Lonchura striata: one gene and its partner. The protein of the gene in region 2 purifies or fractionates together with the protein of the main gene of each other region. This does not show direct contact. Links are inferred from orthologs where the notes say so. Each region holds a gene or a part of one and is shown on either strand. Other genes may lie near its edges.

Region 1 (10,734 bases), on a different chromosome or scaffold from region 2:
TCCTCTGTATCAGCTTATCTTGTCTGTTTGAGAACCATCATACTATGTTTAATAGAGTTTTTACTTTGGAAGAAACTACTGCTGGTGAAGAGGAGTCTGCTGGCTGCTGAACATCCAAGGTATGTGTAACATTAGGGAGGGTGTCACTCGGGTTTTATTATAATATTTTGTTTCACAGATACAGTAGTTTATGTACATATCTTTTAGTATGTGTATATTTTGGTTTCAGTCACCTATCTAGGAGAGATCTATCATCTCTTTAATATTCACTTGCTCTCAGTCTGCTCTTAGCAGATTTGTCACTGTTTATAAAAGCACTGTAGGGCACTGCTTTAGAAATATGAAATATCACATGAGCTAAAGGTGTCTACTCAGGAGAGGGTTACAATAAGAGTGTATGTACAGATTTCAATCCTCATTTTTGTTCAATAAATATACTTCTACTAATTGTATTTCTCTGTTCAGAAAACTTGTCCCAAAACTGAAATCACTAAATTTTATGAAGTAAAAGCCTTTACTGTCCTTTATCTCTGCTAGGTGCTACCACAATATCATCATGGACTTTTCCTCTCCTTTTTTGTTGTACCTTTAGTTTCCAAACAGAGAGAGCACCTGTTTATGCTGCAACTGAGGAAAAAAAAAAAAAAAAAAAAATACCCTTGCCAAAGCGAAAAACTTGTCTAGCAACTTATACAGTCATCTTGTAAAAACTCTTTCTGGATAGTATCTCTTTAAAAAGGGCCATAAACTTAGCTTACACATACCAGGTGAGACAACTTCAATGAGAAGATGCCAAACAACTTCATGGAAATCCATGACACACCAGCATGTAGGTAAGATTGTCCTGGAAAATGGTATTGTGTATTTTCTCCCTGGTTTGCAACACAATGACATGGGTGACTCAAAACAGATTTTTATCATCAATTCTCAGTCCCTTCCCTATGGTGAAAGCTCTGAGTTGTTAGATTTATGCCTTCACATAGAATTAATTATTTCTGTGTGAGAAGTCTGGCCAATTGGATTTTGTCCATTTGGAGCCTTGCTTGGATGTGCTTACGTGAGCAAAGCACCACCCCAGTAACAACACTCAGTCTGCACTGTAAGAGCTGAGAAAACCTGGGAGAGGTTCTTTGCAATAGCAACTGATGCACTAGCAGTGTGTTTAGAGTCAAAGAATCTCAGTTTTATTCTTCATTCCACCCAAAACAATGCTCCAAGCAGAAGACTTTATTACTATAAATCAGAAATTATTCAAGACATGAAAAGAATTAAAGGTCAGTGACAAATAATGTGAGCAAGTCAAGAGTGTTAGAGCAAGAAGAACAGGTATTGTGAATGGGTCACATGAAGCCCTGCAAATAAGGTCTGATTGAACACCTTCTCCAAAGTAAATTTACTTTCAAAGATCCTTTCAATGGCATGCAATTTTATAAAGCCTTTAACATTTACATAGAGAAGAAAAGAATTTGGAACACCTGATGAGCAGCCATTTACAAGAAGTTTCCAATCATTTAAAAAACTTGGTTCAAATGTTGTGAAATACATGTTACAGCTTTTATGGCTAACAGAAGATAGAAACAATTCTCTAGATTTTCATCTTATGCTAGTGTCTATGTCTTCTGTTTAAGTCCAGTGATTTGTTTTTTCCATTTAAAGCTGGTATTTGAAATACCAAAAGATACATAAGGCAGGTTTTGTATGTGGAAAGGAAAAGGCAACGTCAAGGGGCAAACATGAGAGTGAAACAATCTGTCAAGGTCCTGGGCAGGCAGCTGATGTTTGAAGAACTGATTCTGAGTTACCAACTATATTTAAGCACAATCTCATTTTGGCATCACCTTTATTTTAAGCTAGAGATTCAGTAGCCTCACCGATTTACAGTGAGTCACTAAAACAGAACAGAAAGAGGAAGAAGGTTCTTGCTGTGCTGCATGTCATGTAATGTTCACCCTTTTTACAGAAAAATATATCTCATCCCCCCTACCCTGCCTGTTAGAGGAGAATTAGTATGATTATCTCTTACCCACTTGCCATGCCAGGAAGAAGTTTTTCTCTTGGGAAATACTCTGAGCAGGGAGAAGGCAGAAGCCAGAAGCTCAGCAATCCTCCCGTAGTCCAAGGCACGAGCTGTGCTCCCCTTATGCTCCTCCTGCCCACTGAGGACTGTCACTCAGCCTGGCAGGAAGGCACAGGAGAGGCAGGAGGTGCCAATTCCCACAAGAGTCTGAGGACAGCGCCACAACTCACAGCGCTCTCAGTGCAGGAACACTCACACCAGGAAGTCAGAGGCACCTGTAGCAGGCTCCTGCCTCACTTTGTCTTGCATCATGGATTATTTGCCAAATGGATTTTTATGTCTCTGGATGAAGTTTTAGCCCAGAAACAAGCACTGCAAGTCTGAAAGCTTTGAAGTGGACAGGACATTCTAGTCCTGTTTATTCTGTATCGAGTTTTTATTTGACAGTAGAAGGGAAGACGATAATTAATCTGAGATCAAAAAAAAAAAAAAATCAAAGGTGGTGAAGGGAAAAAACCCAACAAATGCATCTCTATTTAGAGCTGAAACTGCTACGTGTGATCCTGTGAATATTAGAAGGTGTTATAAACGAGAAATGTTCTAGAAAGGGAGAACTTTCCATGTGCCACTGGAAACAAGTGGTGGCAGGTGCTGGTGCCTATCCTGGGAATCTTGCATTCATTTTGTGGCTAAATCAACCCTCAGATGGTTTAAAGCTTATTGTTGTTTGGTTGGTACTTGTGATATCTTCTTCTTCATCATAATTAATTTCTGAAAAGCACAGCTTTAGGTCTAAACTAGATATATGTATGTAGAGAAGCCAGAATGGCTTGATGCTAGATACCAGTCTTACAAGTGCTTTTGCACCTCTGGTCCATGAACCCCTTCAAAGAACCAATTTAGGGCTAAATAAAGCCCCTGGTGATGAAGACACACAAAATTGCACAGGGAACAAGATATGCAGCCCACTTAAAACACTTAAAAGTGAAGCTTCCTTCTGACACTAGTAGGAGAAATTAAACCATCTCAAAACTGAATATCCTTAATTTTAACAGAAATCTTCTTTACCATCTGGTTAGTATTTATTGCACTTCAGGGTAAACAAGGTAAATAATGAAAATCCAGTGCCTTGGATTTGTCAACTGTCCCAGTTTATCAACTGAATGCAGGAACTCTTATGCTTTCATTTAAAATACAAAAGCTAGTGGGCATATTCTGTCTATTAAAAAATTGCAACTTCTTTACTCACACTAGCAGAAAGAGCCCAGATGGGAGCCTAGGGAATTTTCACTTACAAGCAGCATCATCACTGAAGTCAATGAATTTAAGTTCATCTTTAATAAGATTACAGCTCAGTAGCATCACCAGCAATTTCACAACCAACCGTGTACTTGTATGTCTTTTACAATTTCTGTCTTTTGATTTGGACACTGTTATAAGAAAAACGCAGAGATCCTGAGGAGAGTGAAAGAGTGTGTTTGCTGACAGAAACTAAACACTAATCGAAGGCAAATTAGATCAGTACAGACTCTGGGTCATTCACAGGTCTAACACAGAAAAAGAGAATGTGCCAAGAGCAGCCTTGGTATCCATGGGTGCTATTACAAATATTGGCTTCCTCTGCAGCAGAGCCCAGCCAGAGCTTTGTCAAACCCATTGCACAGAGCAGCGGACGTGGTTTTTGTGCAAGAGCTGGGGCCAGGCTGCCTCTGTGCTCTGTTCCTCTTTTTCTGTCCCAAGGGAATGGGAGGAGTGTTTGGTGCTCACTCACACGTACCCAGCATTTCCAAAGGAGTAGGGCAAAAAACTTCTAGAAGTTCTGCCTGACAAAACCAGCACCTCAAGCATCAGATGCTGACCTTTGCCAACGTAAAGGACCAAGGAGATCCTGGGAATTAAACATGTTTCTAAAGCATGTAGGCATCTCTGTGCATTTTTGGCCTAAATATTTTGCTTTTCCAGTCAAGGTGGCCAACGAGTAAGTGTTGGTTTGTCACTTCTAGTCTGGTGCTTACACTTCCTTGAGGGGAGAAAGAGTTATTTAAACCTCTTTGGTCAATCTAGAGAGGCGTGAGTGAGAACACTGAGTTTTACAGGCTTCCAGACCAAAGCGGGCAGGGCTCACACCAGCACAAAGAGCAGGTTTGGGCTGGACAGGCTCATTCAGGGAGACTGAGTGAAAGCTGCCAGCTGGAACAAACACCCTGCAGATCTACAGCACACTCAGTCCTTTCCCAGGAAAAGGCAGAGCAGGTCTTTGGGTTACATTCTGCACAGAAAGAGGAAAGTTTATGAGACACTGAGGATGCTGGACATTCCCATGGGAGTTTTGACTATTGCTGCCAAGTCTCCACAAGCTGACACACACTGAAAAGCAGTGGAGACACATCCTGGGCTGGTCACTTGAAAGCCAGCCAGGTCAGAGCATAGTGAAAGCAGAACATGGGTACACCGAGGTCTCCACCCTTCCTTAAATATTAATATTCAAGTTGGAGCCTCTCCTGCCAGATTTTTTGGCACCAAACTCCAGGATCCCTGTGCCTGTCTCAGTTATCTCCCTTTGCCTTAGCCTCCCAGACTCCCCCTGGAGTCCTTCTCTGTAGCCAGTGGTATTTACAATCCCTGCACTTACTGGGGAGCTTCAGATGCAGCAGCTTTCATCCTGAAAGAGAAAACCATGAGGATTACAGAGCCAGGCATGCTCTTGTCATAGGAAAAAAGAGGCATAAATAACTCCATCCCTGCAGCTAAATGTGCATACCTGGACTGAGGCACAACCTTCTTAGCATTAGGTTAGTCTGTTAGTATTCTTTCACTTCCTAGTGCTAATTCCCAGGTTTAATAAGTAAATCATGATGGACTTATGATATGTTCTCGCAGCCAGATGAGCCAGGTTCCCACTCAGCAAATCATGAGGATGAAAGGAAATATTTGCTTGGGCTCACCGGGGCTCAGCACCTCTGTGTGGGCCTAAGGGATAAGGGAAGACTTTTTTTTATTATTTTATTTTTAGGACTGCCAGGCATATTTTGTGAGAAACTGTCGAGGAATCATTGAAGGCATATTGCGAAGACATAATATGTGAAGACAAAGTAATTAAAGAGATTTGAAGTGTTTCATGTTTTGCACAGACACAAAGACACATGTGGTTATTAGTCACTGATTTTCACACATTGGTGTAAGCAAAATTTAAGGGAGCCTGGCTGAAACTATATCTTATTGCACAGCTCAGTTCTGGTGCTTTTTGGATAAACATTGCTGCTAATTAATTCTTAAGGCCGTGAGAACTGGGATTGCTCAGCGTGGAGAAGAGAAGGCTTTGGGGTGACCTCACTGTGGCCTTGCAGTGCCTGAAGGGGACCCACAGGAAAAATGGAGACTTGGCGAGGGCCTGGAGTGAGTGTTACGTGTAGTAGATCTAATTTGTGCCATTTTTAGTATGATATATGTGATATTGACTATTTGTTGGAGTATACACATTTGTATTAGGAGTCCCCCCAACCCTCACAGGCAAAACCTGGTGTATGTTGAAATCTGATTTACAAGTAAAAGGATGTGACTTGGCCAGGCCAGGAGATGGGCCATGTCTGGAGGGATACAGGATTCCCAGAGATGAGTATCATGGAAATCCTTGGGCAGATACATGTGAATGCAGGGTTCCCGTAAACTTCATCAAGGGATCCAACAACTCCAGACACTGAATTGTTCTTCTTCATCACCAAAAAAGAAAATCTTATTAACCTATGGACTCTGAATGGAAGAAAAGACTGATTGCAAAAATCTTGGCCTCGGGGAATTTTCCCTATGAAAACTGCTTGTACCGGGATGGAGGCGTGTGGGCACAGAGGAAAACCTCTGCTGAGGCTGACTCCTTGTTGCACACCCAGGGCCAGCCCCGGGCTCGGCTCTGTTCTTTCCTTGTGGCTGGATAGATAGAATTGGATTGCAAAATAAATATTTTATTTTTTCATTTTAATGTGGCTGGACAAATTTTCGTTTATAACAACAGGACAAGGGGGAAATGATTTCACACTGACAAAGAGCAGGGCTAGATTGGGTATAAGGAAAAATTGTTCTCTGGTGCTGAGGCCCTGGCACAGGGTGTCCAGAGCAGCTGTGGCTGCCCCTGGATCCCCGGCAGTGCCCAAGGCCAGGCTGGATGTGGCTCAGAGCCAGCTAGGCAAGGGGAAGGTGTCCGTGCCCGTGGCGGGGGTGGCACTGGGTGGTGTGGCAAATGCTTAAAGCCGGCAGCAGGCCGCGCCATTCCCGCAGCGGACAAAGCGCAGAAGGGCGCTCGGGGCGCTGCCCTCACACAGCGCGGCCGTGACGTCACGGGGCGGGGCGGGCAGGCGCAGTTCGCCGCGCGTGACGTCACGGGGGCGGGGCTGTGCGTGACGTAGAGGGGCGGGCCCGGCGCGGTTCTTCGCGGCGTGGGACGGCCCCGGGCGCGGCGGGGCGCGGCCCGCGGTGTGCCGGGGCAGCCATGGGGGCGCAGCTCAGCGTGGTGAGTGCCGGGGGGCGGCCGGGAGCGGGGTCCCTTCCTGCGCAGCCCCGGCTCCGCCCGCAGCGCTCCGGGGCGGGGCGGTGTCCCGGTGTCCCCGCTGCCCGGGGCCGCGCGGTGCTGCGGAGGCTCCGGGGCCGTCCCGCGGTGCGCGGTGGTGGTGCCTGTGCTGGCTGCCCTGCCGCGGCGTTCTGCCCTCCCAGCTCCGCGGGTGTCTGTTCTTGTTGTTGTTAGTGTTTGGGGCTCTGAAGGCTTGTGGTGTTTTCCGCCGCCGGAATAATTTCAGGCTGTAGGAGCGGAGGTTTGGAGTGGCTCTGAGGAAGAATTTGTTCCCTGTGAGGGTGGTGAGGCCCTGGCACGCATTACGCGGAGTTGTGGCTGCCCCATCCCCGGCAGTGTCCAAGGCCAGGCTGGATGGGGCTCAGAGCAGCTGGAATAGTGTCCCTATTAGCAGGTGTCCGTGCCCACGGTGTTGGAACGAGAAGATCTTTAAGGTCGCTTCCAACACAAACCATCCCACGATTCTGCCTGTGACCGTGCTGGCTGGGCCGTGGGACTGCAGCTGTCACCTCTGCCAGGCATCCTTACCCTCTTTTCTCAGCTGCCTGTCACGGTTCTCTGCTCCTCTGCTCAAACACTTTTCTTCGGGTTTCTGAGGAGGCAGGATGGAGCTGGATTCAACATACTCTCCTTTGGGAACAGCTGCTCCTAAGTGCTTTGAACAGGGGAGATGCGGCTAAAGCTGCCGAGGTGAAGAAATCCCGTTATCCTCTGGCTGGTTTCTGAAACACATGCGAATAATCTGTGAGCTGCGATTACTTCAAAAGCAGGGTGTTTGAAGCTGAGGGTACAATGCTTCTCATGCCGAAGCAGGGTTCGGTTTGTGTGTTTGCAGGGCAGGGCAGTGCTGGGGTGTCGAGCTCTGAGCCTGTGTGTTGGACAGTGTTGTGCTCACCACGCCCTGGCAGTGCAGTCTCCCTGGCTTTTCTGCCTGTTATCACACAGAGGCCTCTTTCCATTAATAAAAATTCCTGCTCAGTTACTAATTCTGCCTTGTCTGTTTGTAAAGATTTGTGAAGCTGGAAATGATGAGTCACAGGGTCCCCATTTGGTGATTCCCAGGCCTTGTGGTCAGCCTGTTGCTCTCTGCTGCTGGAGATCTGATGCTGTGCAGTTATCTTCATTTATATCTTGGTTTGGCCTGTGGTGAGAGTATATAGGCTACTTTTAACCCAGAGAATGCTTTTCCTAGCAAGCATGACTTTTTGTAATCATTCAGCCTTCAATTCTTCCCCATTTTTCTGCCCACCTGGTAATAGATATGAGTAAGGGACTAAAATAGTTTTCTGAACTGGGGGTGTGCTGTGTTTTTCCAGACCAAATCCCATGAGACTTACTAATTGACCATGAGTAACAAATGTCTTTCCACAAGGTTAACACCATGTTAAAATTATTGCCTAACAGCAGCAGCTCTATTTTTTTGTTCACTTGAGATAGCCACATTTGGAAATGAAACTGTTTTAACTTATTAGTGTCTTGTTTGAAACACCTGCTGCAGAGTCAGGTTGCTATTGCCTCCAGACCTCACTCACTTGTTAATTTCTCATTAAGGAGTTTACTTGCTGCTCTGTCACCTTGAACAACCTCCCTCCCTCTGCCCCTTTTTGTGACTCAATACCAAAATTTCTTCCCAGAGCTGCAGTAATTTGGTGGATCTATGAGAGTTAAGGAATAAGTTTCCTGTAAACTTTAGCTTCTTCAGAAACAACATGTATGGAGCTATTTCAGTATTCCCAAATAGACGTTAAAAAGTGTGTGTAAGGCATGGTGTGCCCTCAGGCTATACATAGTGATGATACATTTTAAACCTTTACAGCAGCACTTTAAGAGAGAATTTGTGCTGTCCCACAGTTTTATCATTAATAGCGTGGGAAGTTTTTATAGCCTCTTGAGGGACTGTTATAGTTGCACAAATGCCATTCTAAAATACTGTTCACGTCCTTTTAAAATAAAAGGAAGGTAAAGGCTAAGCAGGTAAAATGTTGAGCTCATTTTTTATTTTTGCTATGGTAATGCTTTTCCTCTCTCCTCTGTTCAAGTGTTGATTAATAAATTACTGAGTTAGAGAAGATTTTTATAAGTAGTTGTGCAGTTTATTCTCCTGCCCCAGTGTGGAGAGGGTGGTGTGGTGTCGGAGCATAATCTGTTCCTGTCTTACTTCAGAGGTGGGGAAAATGATGGTAAAGGCACAAGAAGGGCTGTCCCTGGCTGTGTCCTGCAACTTAGCTGCTTTCCCAGGGAAGGGGTGCTGCTCTGCATGCAGGGCTCTGTGTGGTGGTGGAAGTGCCAGTGCCTGCACCCAAACTCTGAGCTGGAGGGTGTGGGCATGCTGCCAGCACCAGCATGGCATGGCTGGCAAAGCCCTGCTCAGCTGCCAGGGGGAGAACAGGGTCTGTGCTCAAGTATGAGACCCCAAATTACAGGGTGTCTGCAGCACGTGGGGTGGCCTGTGAAGGGGTGTGGGCAACAGTGGCCCTTGTGTCCAGATGGCAGCAGCTGGGGAGCCTGGAGAGGGGGCACACTCTGCCAGGGCAAAGCCAGCTGCCAGGGGATCCACCTCATACAGGTATGTGTGTATGGAATTGCCACTCATGGACCTTCATCCCGATCATGGGGAGGGGAGCAGGGTGAGCCCCTGTTTGTGTGTGTCTGGCTGTGTTGATCAGTGTGGTCTGCCACAGGCTGGGTACGAGGAAAAGGTTCTCCCCACAAAGGATGGTTGGGCACTGGAACTCCCCAGGGACTCATCACAGCCCCAAGGCTGACAGAGTGCAAGGAACATTTGTACAGTGTTCTCAGGGATTGTAGGGGTGTCCTGTGTGGGGTTGGACTGGATGATCCTGATGGGCCCCTCTCAACTCAGGATATTCTGTGATACGTGTGTCTGTCTGCCTGCTGGAGATGGGGATTCAGCCTCCCTGTCAGGGCACCTGGGGATATGGAGCTGTGACAGCCTCACTTTGTATCCAGCTGCCAGCATGGCAACCCTGTGCTGGTGTGCAGTTGCCTCAAAACAGGAGTGATGCCAGGTCTTCATAAAGCAAATCTTTGGCTTTGGGATTTTTTTCTTTTTATAATGCTTCATTTTCCTTCTCAAATAAACACATTCTTTCTGGTGGTTAGAGTGCAATGGCATAGGCCCCTATTCCTTGTCACACTCTCTCATTCTGCACGTGTCTAACGCTGTTTCTGTGCTGCTGCAGTTGCGTCAGGTTGTGACATACCCAATATGGTTCATCTACACCACCTTCATGAGGCTCTTCAGGAATCCCCAGCCTGCAATTACCCTCAAGGACCCAGAAGTGAAGTATGCACTGAGGCTGATTGATAAGGAGGTAAGTGCACGTGCAGTGCTGAGCACGACCTCTCAGTGGGCGCTGTGAAATGCTTACAGCTTCCCAAGTCTTGGGTGATGTCCCAACAGGGTGGATACTTTTGTCTTGAGGAAAGGACTTCTTTATAAAAGCTCTTTGTGTGGTGTAACTTGCAGTTGTGCAAGCAGCTTGTTTCCAAACAGTTTAGAGTGGAGAATGCTGCTTGGAAATGATCAAAGGCACAGTCACGTGTGCCTCGTATTGTGGAGCGCATCAGCAGAAATTCTCAAACTCTGCACCTCTGACTGGGCTAAGGGACACAAGTCAGGCAGAGCAAGCAGCTTTTTCATGGTCAGTGGCATTCAACAGCAGCTGCCAGAACTATGTTGATGCTGGTTCCTATCACTGGATTGAAGTACTGTAATGTTTTACAGGAAGAAAGGTGTTTAAGTCATGCAGTCCTGACAGCACCCGAACTGTCTCAGCTTCTCTATTCTCTGTTAAAAGTGAAGCCTCCTGGTACAAACTTAAATGCTTGATCAAGTGGGATACCAGAGGAAGGTCATGATGCTTTCAAGGGCAGATCTTGCCATCAGAAATTGGTAACTAAGCTTGTGGGAAGTGAGCCAAAGCCACCAAAGTTGAAAAGTCTAGGTTTCCATTGGATAAACCCACCATCAAAAGTATGAGAGAGAAATCTTGGCTTCTCAGGTGTAAAGCACACCCGAGGATATTTTTAGTGTTGATTTTTTAAAGCTATGAGCTATTCAGAAATTTATCAGAAGATTTTGGACACGAACAGAAATTTATTTGAGGTTTAGAGGGTGCACTGATAGCTTAGC
Region 2 (10,054 bases):
CTTCTTTTCCATATGCTGTTTTCTCAATATCTTTTCCTTTCATTTCTGCTCCTTTTTACAGGATATATCAGAAAGACTTTAGCCTTCAGGATTCCTTTTTTTCCCATGCCAACACTGTGGTTGCACTTAGGTAGTCTGTCACCACCAGCATGACTTACCTAGAAATACATCCTGATCTACACCAGTCAGAAACTAGTTCCAAACCAGTAAAACAAGCAAATTCAAGTTTTCTATAGCTCCAGGTCTTACACTGTTTGCATCTCTATCCTGGAATACCTTCAGTTGTTCTCACACCTCTCATCCTCCTTTTTGGTTTTGCCATCTGGTTAAATGACAGACAGGCTTGCAAAAAGTACTTATATATAAACCAGTGGAATGGAGAACCACCAGGTTCTCCTGGCGCCCCCTGCACAGGAGAGCTCATCAGCTCTCTCTAACTTAGCCAGCTGCTGGTTTCTACAAAACTCAGGAAATCAATATCCTTGAATCTTCTGCCACTGCCATAGTTAACTAAAATTTGCCTGAAGTGTTCAAAAGCTGGAATATTTTAATTGGTGAAAGGTGAGGGAGGTAAAGGGCTTCAATGTATGACCAGCTGGATGTGATACTGAGAAAGCAGGGAAGTCATGTTGGACATTTCTTAGCTGTCCTATCTTTGTCTGACCCAGATAAAAGGAAGAGCTCCCTAAATACTCTAAGAAAGAAGCCTCAGTCCTGGTAGTGTTTTTCAAAGCTGCCCTACATTCCATCCCCAGAAGTCAGAAATGCTCTGTGGCCCCAAGTACCACCATGACCCAGGTGAAGGCTCTAGCTGCTATAGCCTGCTAAAAGCATTTGCAAGGGACAAGTTGTTAAAAAGTGAGAAAAGTTCTGGAAAACAGCAGCTCTTCCTTACAAATGTGAGTTCAGATCTATGTGCTGCTCCCTCTGCACACTTTGCTTGTATAATTAAGTTTCCTAATTCCAATAGTGATGCCATCAGCCTTGTCTCCAGTAATGGTAAAAATGTTGCCCCCATCAATCTGTTTGTTTTCTCCTTGGGCACATTTGGCAGCCAAGGGAATAATCCTGAATGTTGATTATCAGGCTGTTTCTTTCCTAAGTGGGTCAATATCAATGCTGATAAAGAGCAAAAATTGATCTCCAATATACATTATATACACTTTTCACTTTACAAAGCAAACCAGTTTAAATTCCAATTTATTATAACTGTAATAAATCCCTAAGTTTTAAAAAAGCTCCTAAAGTAATGTACATAAAATGCCATGATTTTAGAGTGCTCATTCTTGTTGTTTTAAGTTCTAGTCACTGAGTGAGTGGCATCAGTACCTGGAGTCAGAATGTGGAGATGATTTAAAATAAAAATTAGGAGGGGGGAACATGAATTAGAAAAAGTAATTGATAATATCTGGAGCTGTTTGTTAATAGAGAATGGATTTTTTTTGTCTAGATCCAATAGAACTGATGGTCCTTATGTTCCTTGAGAGTGTTATGGCCAAACTGGTAAGTGAATAATTTAATTGTATTTCTTAAAAGTGTGAGGGGCTGACAAGTAGTGACATTAAACCTAATGTGGGGAATTACATGTATTCTGAGGATTAGAAAATTCTGGGGGTGTCAGTAAGACATAAAATTAATTGTATTGTCCTTTAAGCAAGACCAAAGGTGTTCTTTCTGAGATAAAGAGTAATCAGACCAAATTCCCATTAACAGTGGATCCCTGTGCAGCTTTAGTGAGGTAAGTTATTCATGTCATAGTCTCATTTACTGGAGAGTATTGTCATTGTTTTAGTTCCCTTCAAATGTTACATATTTTATTTATGAACAAATGTGTTCTTTTTCACTGTTTTAAAGCTAATGTGTGCCATCATTTTAATGGCATATATCAGCTTTGGTCCCTCTGAATGACAGCTTACAGAGACCAGAAATTACCTGGATGTAGGAATTTAAAGCTACAATTAATGGCAACTTTTCACTGGTGGCACTTGGTGTCTTTTAGAGCTCTCCTGAAACTGCTCTCTTTCATGCAGATGGATGGGCTCAGCATCTGGCTGGCTGAAGGAAGTTCTACAGGGTGTATTGTGACAGGTCTGAATCAGAGTACTGTATATTGACATGGTTAGTGGGACATTTACTGTAGAAATGGATATGTTTGATTCCAATCAAATAATTTCAGAATAATAAGTTATTGGAGCACTAAAGAATATAACAGGGTAGAAAAGTTATAATTAAGAAAATGTTATTTATAGCAGAGGACAAGGAAGGCACCACAGAAGATTCTGATAAACCCAGCCTGGCTCAGTTACCATCAAGAGATGGAAATCCCTTTGTTCTATTGTTTTCACACTTTCCCCCCTCTATATGCTGCATTTGTATTAATAAACTAAGCAGTTTTTTTCACAATATGCCACTGCTAATCTTGAAAAGAAGTACACCAGGCGTTCAAGTGAAGACAAACCTGTGAGGCAAATCTGCTCGATTCAGCACTGGCATAATCTGAAAACAAAGAATTCCAGTTTTATCCTTCCAGAGATAAAGATATTATGTCTGAAACCTGGGCGATTGTCCTTAAAGCTTAAAAGGAGGGACTGAAATCCAGCCACCCTCGCAATTTTAAATCCATCCTTTAAAATCGCTATCTGAGGCCAAATGTGGGTTTTTTCTGTTGGGTCCTGCTGTGAAGTGACAGTACTGCATTTGTCCTACCACCATTATTATCTTAGTTCATGATCTGCTGTGATATCATATTACTTCTGTGTAAGATACAGCAGAAGGTCAGAGTGGACTGACAAAATCCCACCAGTATGTAACCACTGGCAGCACTGCTGTGGAAATTCAGAAACATCCCCACTGGGGTTTCTCTCTTTCTTTCCTAACTTTGCTACAAGAAAACAGCTCATGAAAACTAAATTTTCACTAAGTTCTAAGTAAAATAAATTGCTGAATATCTCCAAAATACTCCTACTTGTTGACAATCTTCCTAGCAGAATTGTAAAATACTTTTCTAAAGAGCTAAAACCTGCTCTTTTGCAATAGTTTCAGTATTACAGATCTCTGGTTTTCTCTTGCTTGTTAATTTGACTCGCTCAGAGAATATGGAACTCCCTTCCTGTTTCCCCCCAAGACCTTTAGTCACTTCCTGTCTCTAAATAAAAACTCCTTTCATTTGTTCCTAATTGATGATAGAAAGTCTTCCAAGAATTCTGATAAAATCAGCCAAATTATATATAGATTTTTCCTTCTTGTAATGACCAAAAATCCCCATAGTTAAATATGTCACATCTCTAAATATGTGTCTATGCTCAGAATTTGATGAATTTTTAAAGGTACCTTGTTACATTAAGTTATATAGTAATGGAATTTAAAAAATCCATTTTCTTATTTAACCAAGAGGTGCAAAAAGTAGATTTGCTGGTGAAATTATAAAGACCTTATTTAATCAAAGTATTTTATTTGCTATGTCACCATTCTGCTGCTGCTGTAGCATCCCTTATATCACTGTAAGAGGGGCTGACTTGAAAAGATAAATGGATAATTTGTCAATGAATGTCCAAGATCTTAGGGGCAAAAAATGGCATCTAAAGACCTCACAGTTTGTCAAGGGCTTATTCACCTGCTGGAAACATCTATCTCAATCAGAATAACAATGTTGCCCTCAATGTGTTTACAAAAATACTTTGCGCATTTATTTTGGTAATTTCTGGTAGTGATATGGAATCTTGATGTCTTTGTACATTCTTGAAAAAAAAAATCTCATCTGGAATTTCCTGTGCCTGATCTGAGACTGTATTGGATGCAGGGAAAAGCTGCTTGGAGGAGCAGGGGAAAGGGTGACAGCACAGCTTCTCCAGTGTTAGCTTTGGAAAGCAAGGGCTGGGAAATGTGTATTCTTAGGAATTAAAATTCAGATAAAATAATTTAAAGGGAAAAGTGGTAGGAGGCTGTACCTTGGCCTTGAGCAAATTAGGACTGGAAGCTGGAAGGTCTCTTGTCATTTAGAAAATGGGGTATCTTAGAATGGCCTTCCCAATACTAATAGCAGCACAAATATTTAGGTTCAGACTGTTCATGCAAAGAATACAATTTGTTTTCCTGAGGCAAGAGAGGACTCAGTGCTGGGACCTCTTGGAGCCCCTATATTCACTTGTTGCCATCTCATTTTTCAGACAGTGACTGAAGCTGGTGATTGAACCCCAGTTTCCAGCCAGAAGCTCTTCCCTCTGCAGTGTGAGATGCAGCTGCCCCTCAGTCCCTCCGTGTGCTCAGGTGCACTGAGCTGATCCCACTCAGGAGCTTCTCCTGCTCCAGGCTGTCAGTCACTGCTTAATGGGACAGCTCACATTGTCCCTCTCGCATCCATGGCATCCTACATGGCAGAAAGGAAGTGCCAGGAGAGCTGCTTCTTTTTCTTATCTTCTCATGTCTCACTGAACTGGCAGCTGCTTGCTCTGAGTGTTTCCATGAACTTATCTCTTTATACGGGAGAATAAATCACCTGTGGGTTAAAAACCCATAATAATGTTGGAGTAATGTTAAATATAGAATTATAAGGCCTTTTGGTCTTATTGAGGCAGCTGTGTGGGTGGAAATTGCATCCAAATAGATGTTATTTACTTAAATTAAGTGTTACCCTAAGGGCTTTGGCCAATGTTCCATCTCTGAGCAGAAAGCTGGAGACCACACCAGAGTCTAACACGAGGCAGGTTTTCTTCTGCTCTCCCTTTCCTCTTTCCTTACTTCTTTCCATTCCTCTTTTTTTACCTCCCTTTCCTCTTTCCTTAAATTTCTTCTTCCCTTTCCTTCCCACTTTCCTTTCTCTTATTCTTTTTTCCTTTCATTTTTTTCCTCTTTCCTTCTTAATTTCTTTCCTTTTCCCTCTTTCTTTTCCCCCTTTCTTTTCCTCCCTTTTTTCCCCTTTCCTCTTTCCTTTCCTCCCTTTTTCCCCCTTTCCTCTTTCCTTTCCTCCCTTTTCCTCTTCCTTTCCCTTTCTCCTTTTTCCTTTCATTTTTCTCCTTTCATTTTTCTTTTCCTTTCCATTCTTTCTCGCAGAAGTCACACAATTTAAATTCATACTCTAAAGAGACGATGAGGTCTGTTCATAGGACTAGCATAGGTGGTTAAACAGGTTTATCTCTTCTGACAATGTCTCCTCTCTGGTGTTTTTTTTTTCAGACACGGGAAGGTTTTTGCATCATGTTTTGGTTAAAACTTCAATTCCCATCGCAGGAAGGCGCTGGCTGACTCCACTTCCCGCCCCAGGGGGATATGCCTGCGGTGATCGGCGCGATGCCCAAGGAACGAGATCGGGATCGGGACGGCGCCTCACCCTTCCCTGGCCCCGCAGTGCTGCGCCGCCCGGGATGCCGAGGGATCCTTCGGTCACATCCAGGGTGAGAGAAGCCGGGCTAGGGCGGATCGGTGTCCTGCGCCATCCGTACCCGGGAGCCCAGCCATCCCCATCTCTTTCTGGAAATCGCTGAGGGTTTATGGCCGCTGTTTAAAACAACAAAAAAAAGAGAGAATGGCACTAGTCCTGGCAGAGAAGAGCGACGAATCAGGCCACGCGCTCCCAGGCTCTGTCACGGGGGGCTGGAGGGGCCCCGGGCCGTGCCCCGTCTCCTTTGCCGCCCCACCCGCGTTCTCCGCGCTGAACTTTACCCGACTTGTCAGCCCCGCTCCGCCAGCCCGCGGGCCCGCCCATCTGATGCATATTCATAAGAACCACGCCCGAGCCTGCTCCTCATTGGCTGCTTCTTGCTCTCTCCCTCTCCCATTGGCTGGCACCGCCGCCGCTCCGGGCGCGGGGAGGGGCGGCCGCGCCCGCGCCTCCCGGGCGGTGACTCACAGGGCGTGGAGTGCGGGTCCCGCAGCGGCGGCGGCAGCGCAGTCTGCGCCTCCCCCCGCTCCCGCACTACTCATTGTTCCGCCCGCTCCAGGCACCATGGACGAGCTGGACCAGTCGCCCCTGGTCTCCTCCTCCTCCGGGCCAGCCCGGCCGCAGCAGCCACAGTTTAACTACCAGTTCGTGCTCGACGACGAGAAGGAGGAGGAAGAGGAGGAAGAGGAAGACGAGGACGAAGACTTCGACGAGCAGCTGGAGGTGATGGAGAGGAAGCCTGCCGCGGCTCCCGCCGCAGCCCCGCAGGAGCGGCCGCCACAGCTGCTGGACCTCGGTGGCCCCGCCGAGCCGCCCCGCCCTACTGCTCCGGAGCCGCCGCAGCCCGACTGGAGCCCCCGGGGAGCTGTGTCCTCTTCCTCCTCCTCTGCCACGACGCCGTCCCCCGCGCAGGAGCAGATCCCGGCCCCCGCCCGGCCCGCGCAACCCCAGCCGCCCAAGCCCGAGCCTGCTGTTGCCCCCCGGAGCAGAGGGTCCTCCTCCAGCTCAGCTGGTGAGTGCTCCCGCCCCGGGCCCGGGGAGGGCGGCGGCCGGCCGGGGAAGCCTCCACCCGAGCCGCTCCGGTTCTCGAGCCCCGCTGCCCCGCCGGGAGGTTCCCTTTGTCTGCCGGCCCTCGGCCGCCTCCTGCGGCATCGCTCCCTCCCCTCAGCCGCGCTCGGGCGCGGCCCTGCCGCAGCCCATGCTGGAGAAAGGGCTCCCCCTCCCCGTTCTTTCTTTTTTTTTTTTTTTTCTTTTTTTTTTTTTTATTGTAATTTCTTCTCTTTCCCTCCTCCTCCCCTCTGTGTTATGCTAATGGCGGGAGGGCGAAGCGCCGCCCCGCCGCCGCCTCGCACATGGGCCACCCGGGGGCGAGGCCGCCGCCGCCTGGCAACGGCCGCGTCGCGGGTGGGCGGGGGGCGAGCCCGGCGTACCGGCCGAGTCCAGGGAGGCCGGCCGTGTCCGGGATGCCGGCTGAGCCCCGCGGGGACGGCCGTGCCCAGGGGACCGGCCGAGTCCCGAGGCACCGGCCGCGGCGTCCTCGCTGCTCCAGCCGGTTCTCTCCCGGCGCAGAACCCTCCTCTCGCCGCATTGTCCCAAGCGCGGTTCCTTCCAGGGCGGCCCGGCACTGCGGGTTCGGGCGTGGGAGCGCCGGAGAGGAGAGAAACATAAGATACTTGTAGTCTTATTCATGTTTAACGCAGCGCCTGGAGGGAGGGGCGAGGCGACGGACTGCGGAGCCTCCGGCCCTCCACCTGGCCAGCACAGCCCTGCGGCCCGCAGCCTGCGTGGGGACGCCGCGCCTCGGCCGTGGACTGCGGGGCTGAGCCCCAAGGAGGGAACCGGTGACCTAGGGAGGAATGTGTAGCAGCACAAAGGGAGACCGGGCTGCTCTAGGTGTGGCAGTCCTGGAGAAGAATGGCAGCCTCGCGTCCTGGATGGCCGCGGCTTAGCCATGGCTGTTACTTGGGGCTTCTCCAAGGCGTCTCCCCGTAGTGTGGGGATTCTCCGAAGCACAGGCCTGTGGAGTGGAGGGCGTGTCACCCCCCAACAATTGCTGGTGCTGCCCAACTGCCAGAGCCCTTCTTAGGTCTTATCCGAGAGCTGACCCGCATGACTAATGCCATGCATGCGGATCTCGAGTGTGCTTTGGCTCCACTTCTCCTTAAGTCAAAGAAGTGACTTGGGGCCACTAAAACAGTGAAAAGGAACAAATTCAAGTGCCCTGAGATCATCATGGTATGTGCTTATCTTCATTGCTGTTGTGGTGTTGGTATGTTGTAAAGATGCAGGATTTCAATAATAACTAAACACCACAGTATGAGGGGGCATGATACTCAGGATCTAGTGAAAAAAAGCATCTGGAACAATAATTTTTAAAAAGGCCTGTTAAAACCTGAATTTAGTTTTTTTCAGGGAAGTTTCATAATGCATTTTATTTGCATGCGTGATGGGACTTTATGGTTACTTGTGCTGTTGTCTTTCATGAAGCCTACTTAGTTTTGTTCTTCTGGAAGCTTTCTATGTAGCAGTATGCCAAGGATATTAATTTTTTTTTTGTTTCCACCATTTGAAGGACAGATGATGACAAAAGCTTGCAACAGACTGAAGAGGAGGGATTCTATATGGTGGATGAACAGAATTTTTTCTAGTCATGTTCTCTGAGTAGAGCTCTGTATGGTTTAAAGAGAGCTGAATGGAAGAAATAGGATCTACCAAATCATGTTGCTTTGAAAAGGAGGGATGAAAGTGCGTTTTCTGGAAGTGATTTTTTTTTTTTCTCTCTGACCCCTGAAGGATAAGGCAAAAAGAGCACAGTAATTCCTGAAATAGTTCCGTGTTAGAGACCTAACTGTGAGAATTGTGTAGTATAGCTGAGAAGTAGCATCAAGGAGTTATTTTAATTTGTCAGTGATGATTAATTTAGGGCTCTGAAGTAAGGACTGGCATCTGGGGGAGGCCTGATTTCCAAAGACAAGGTGTTGTAACACAATGCTCATCTAATGATGAGTTGAAATATTAGGACTCTGTACTTGAAACTCCTGGATGAGAGCAAATTACGTTGCTAAAAGCACTGCCAGGTTATCTCATGAGTATTTTGGCCTTCTCAAATCTCATAGTGTTAAATATCCATTTAAACACCAAATGTTTGTTAGTTTTGCATTTAGCAGTGGGTGTTAAAACTGTCTGGGTGAAGATATTTGGCTTGGCTTCAAATGAGTTCACTCTCAGTCATGCTGGGAGACTTGCAAAATGAATTTTCTGCCTGCAGCTGGTGGCAGGGTGACCATGGCAGGGACAGCCACGTGCCCTGTGGTTTGCTCTCTGCAGAGTTGTCATTTCACTTACTTTGAACTCTGCTGTTTGAATTAAAGGTATAACTGAAGAGTTACAATTCACAATCTAGAAATTTTGAAAAAAAATCTCCTAATATTTGAAATCTAATGCTTTCATTTATGAGGATTTGAGGCAGATAACTCTGAATTCTGTTTCCAGGAGGAAGAGAGTATGGCCTGTAGCAGGAAATAGTAGGGCTTCTTTTGTCTGCAACAATTGGCCATGGTGCTGCCTTTTGGCAGTGGAACAGTAGCAAAAATGTATTGCCTATTGATGGCTCATTGAAATGGATTTTATGTATATATGGAGCTGTTTTTAAAAAAGAAAACCTTTGTAATTGCTTTTAGTTACACACTTAAGAGTATTTAGTATCATTGTGACATAATTATATATAATGCAAGTCTCTGAAAGGGTAGCAGCAGCCTACCTTCTGAAGAGCTAATAAAAATATTTGCAGGAGAAAACAAATAGATGGACAAACTTGGGTTCTCCTGAACAAATTTTGGGGGTTTTGCACTTGCTTTTTTGTGAGTAGGAGAAACTACAGTTCTGGAGAGATTACTGCTTAAATCTTTTGTTTACCTGAATTTACAGAGGGTGGAATAAAAAAGTCAGTTTGAGGTAGGTATACATGGTCAAAGTAATTTGTAGCCCTTTTTTTTTTGCCAGCTGCCCAAAGTAAGAATAACCAGTGTACTATGATGAGTAGATCCCACTTTACTTCTCCAAGCCCTAGATTCTGCAGCAAAAGGAGGGTCATATATCATTTTTCTGGAAGAGACTAGTGTGTTTTGACATTAAACTGCACTTAACCAGAAGCCTGTACACGAGATCCACCAGACTGGCCCTAGGCCAGCATGCAGAGAGAATAAAGATGTTTCCTTGTATGTCTGTTGCCTTCAGCTGACCTGGGTTAAATACATATGCAAACGTTGTGGAGGGCCAGTTTATTAATTAGTCTTGCTGTTCTATGTGATTATATAGGATTTTTTCTTTAATTTCATCCATGCTGAGGAGAGGTCTCAGGAAGGTTTGCCAGACAGTGTCAAGCAGAGGTCAGCAGAGCTGCCTGGAGCTGTCCCTGGCCAGGCTGAGCCCAGCCGCAGGAGGTCCTGAATAAATGCAGATCTATACTTGCTTCTGCTCACCCCAGCAAGTGAACCTTTTACCCTGCTCATCCTGCGTTTGCAGTTGATATAAATTCTAAACCAGCGTATTTGCTCCTCAGATTTTTTCTGTTGTGCTGCTGTGTCTGCAGGGACTCCTTCAGAGGAGTTGTGTGCATTTTAAGGACAGGATGCAGCATGACTTGGAAAAAAACAGAGCTGTGTTTGAATGCTATCA

Evidence for each region. Proteins that work in one complex are often made in the same cells at the same time.
Region 1: the proteins of RTN4 (region 2) and CYB5R3 purify together in Homo sapiens (affinity purification with mass spectrometry; 3 studies listed by BioGRID and IntAct, counting the BioPlex papers as one, with this or other methods). This does not show direct contact. The link is inferred for Lonchura striata from reciprocal best matches to the Homo sapiens genes RTN4 and CYB5R3.

What each region holds. Positions count from the first base shown.
Region 1 is NC_134607.1:1,832,023-1,842,756, reverse strand, and holds the start of CYB5R3 (NADH-cytochrome b5 reductase 3), read left to right. Parts: upstream 1-6,485; 5' UTR 6,486-6,500; coding exon 6,501-6,521; intron 6,522-9,781; coding exon 9,782-9,913; intron 9,914-10,734. Other genes in the region: poly(U)-specific endoribonuclease, read right to left, coding at 2,274-2,326. UniProt on the Homo sapiens protein: Catalyzes the reduction of two molecules of cytochrome b5 using NADH as the electron donor.
Region 2 is NC_134605.1:27,221,262-27,231,315, forward strand, and holds the start of RTN4 (reticulon-4), read left to right. Parts: upstream 1-5,846; 5' UTR 5,847-5,941; coding exon 5,942-6,389; intron 6,390-10,054. UniProt on the Homo sapiens protein: Required to induce the formation and stabilization of endoplasmic reticulum (ER) tubules. They regulate membrane morphogenesis in the ER by promoting tubular ER production.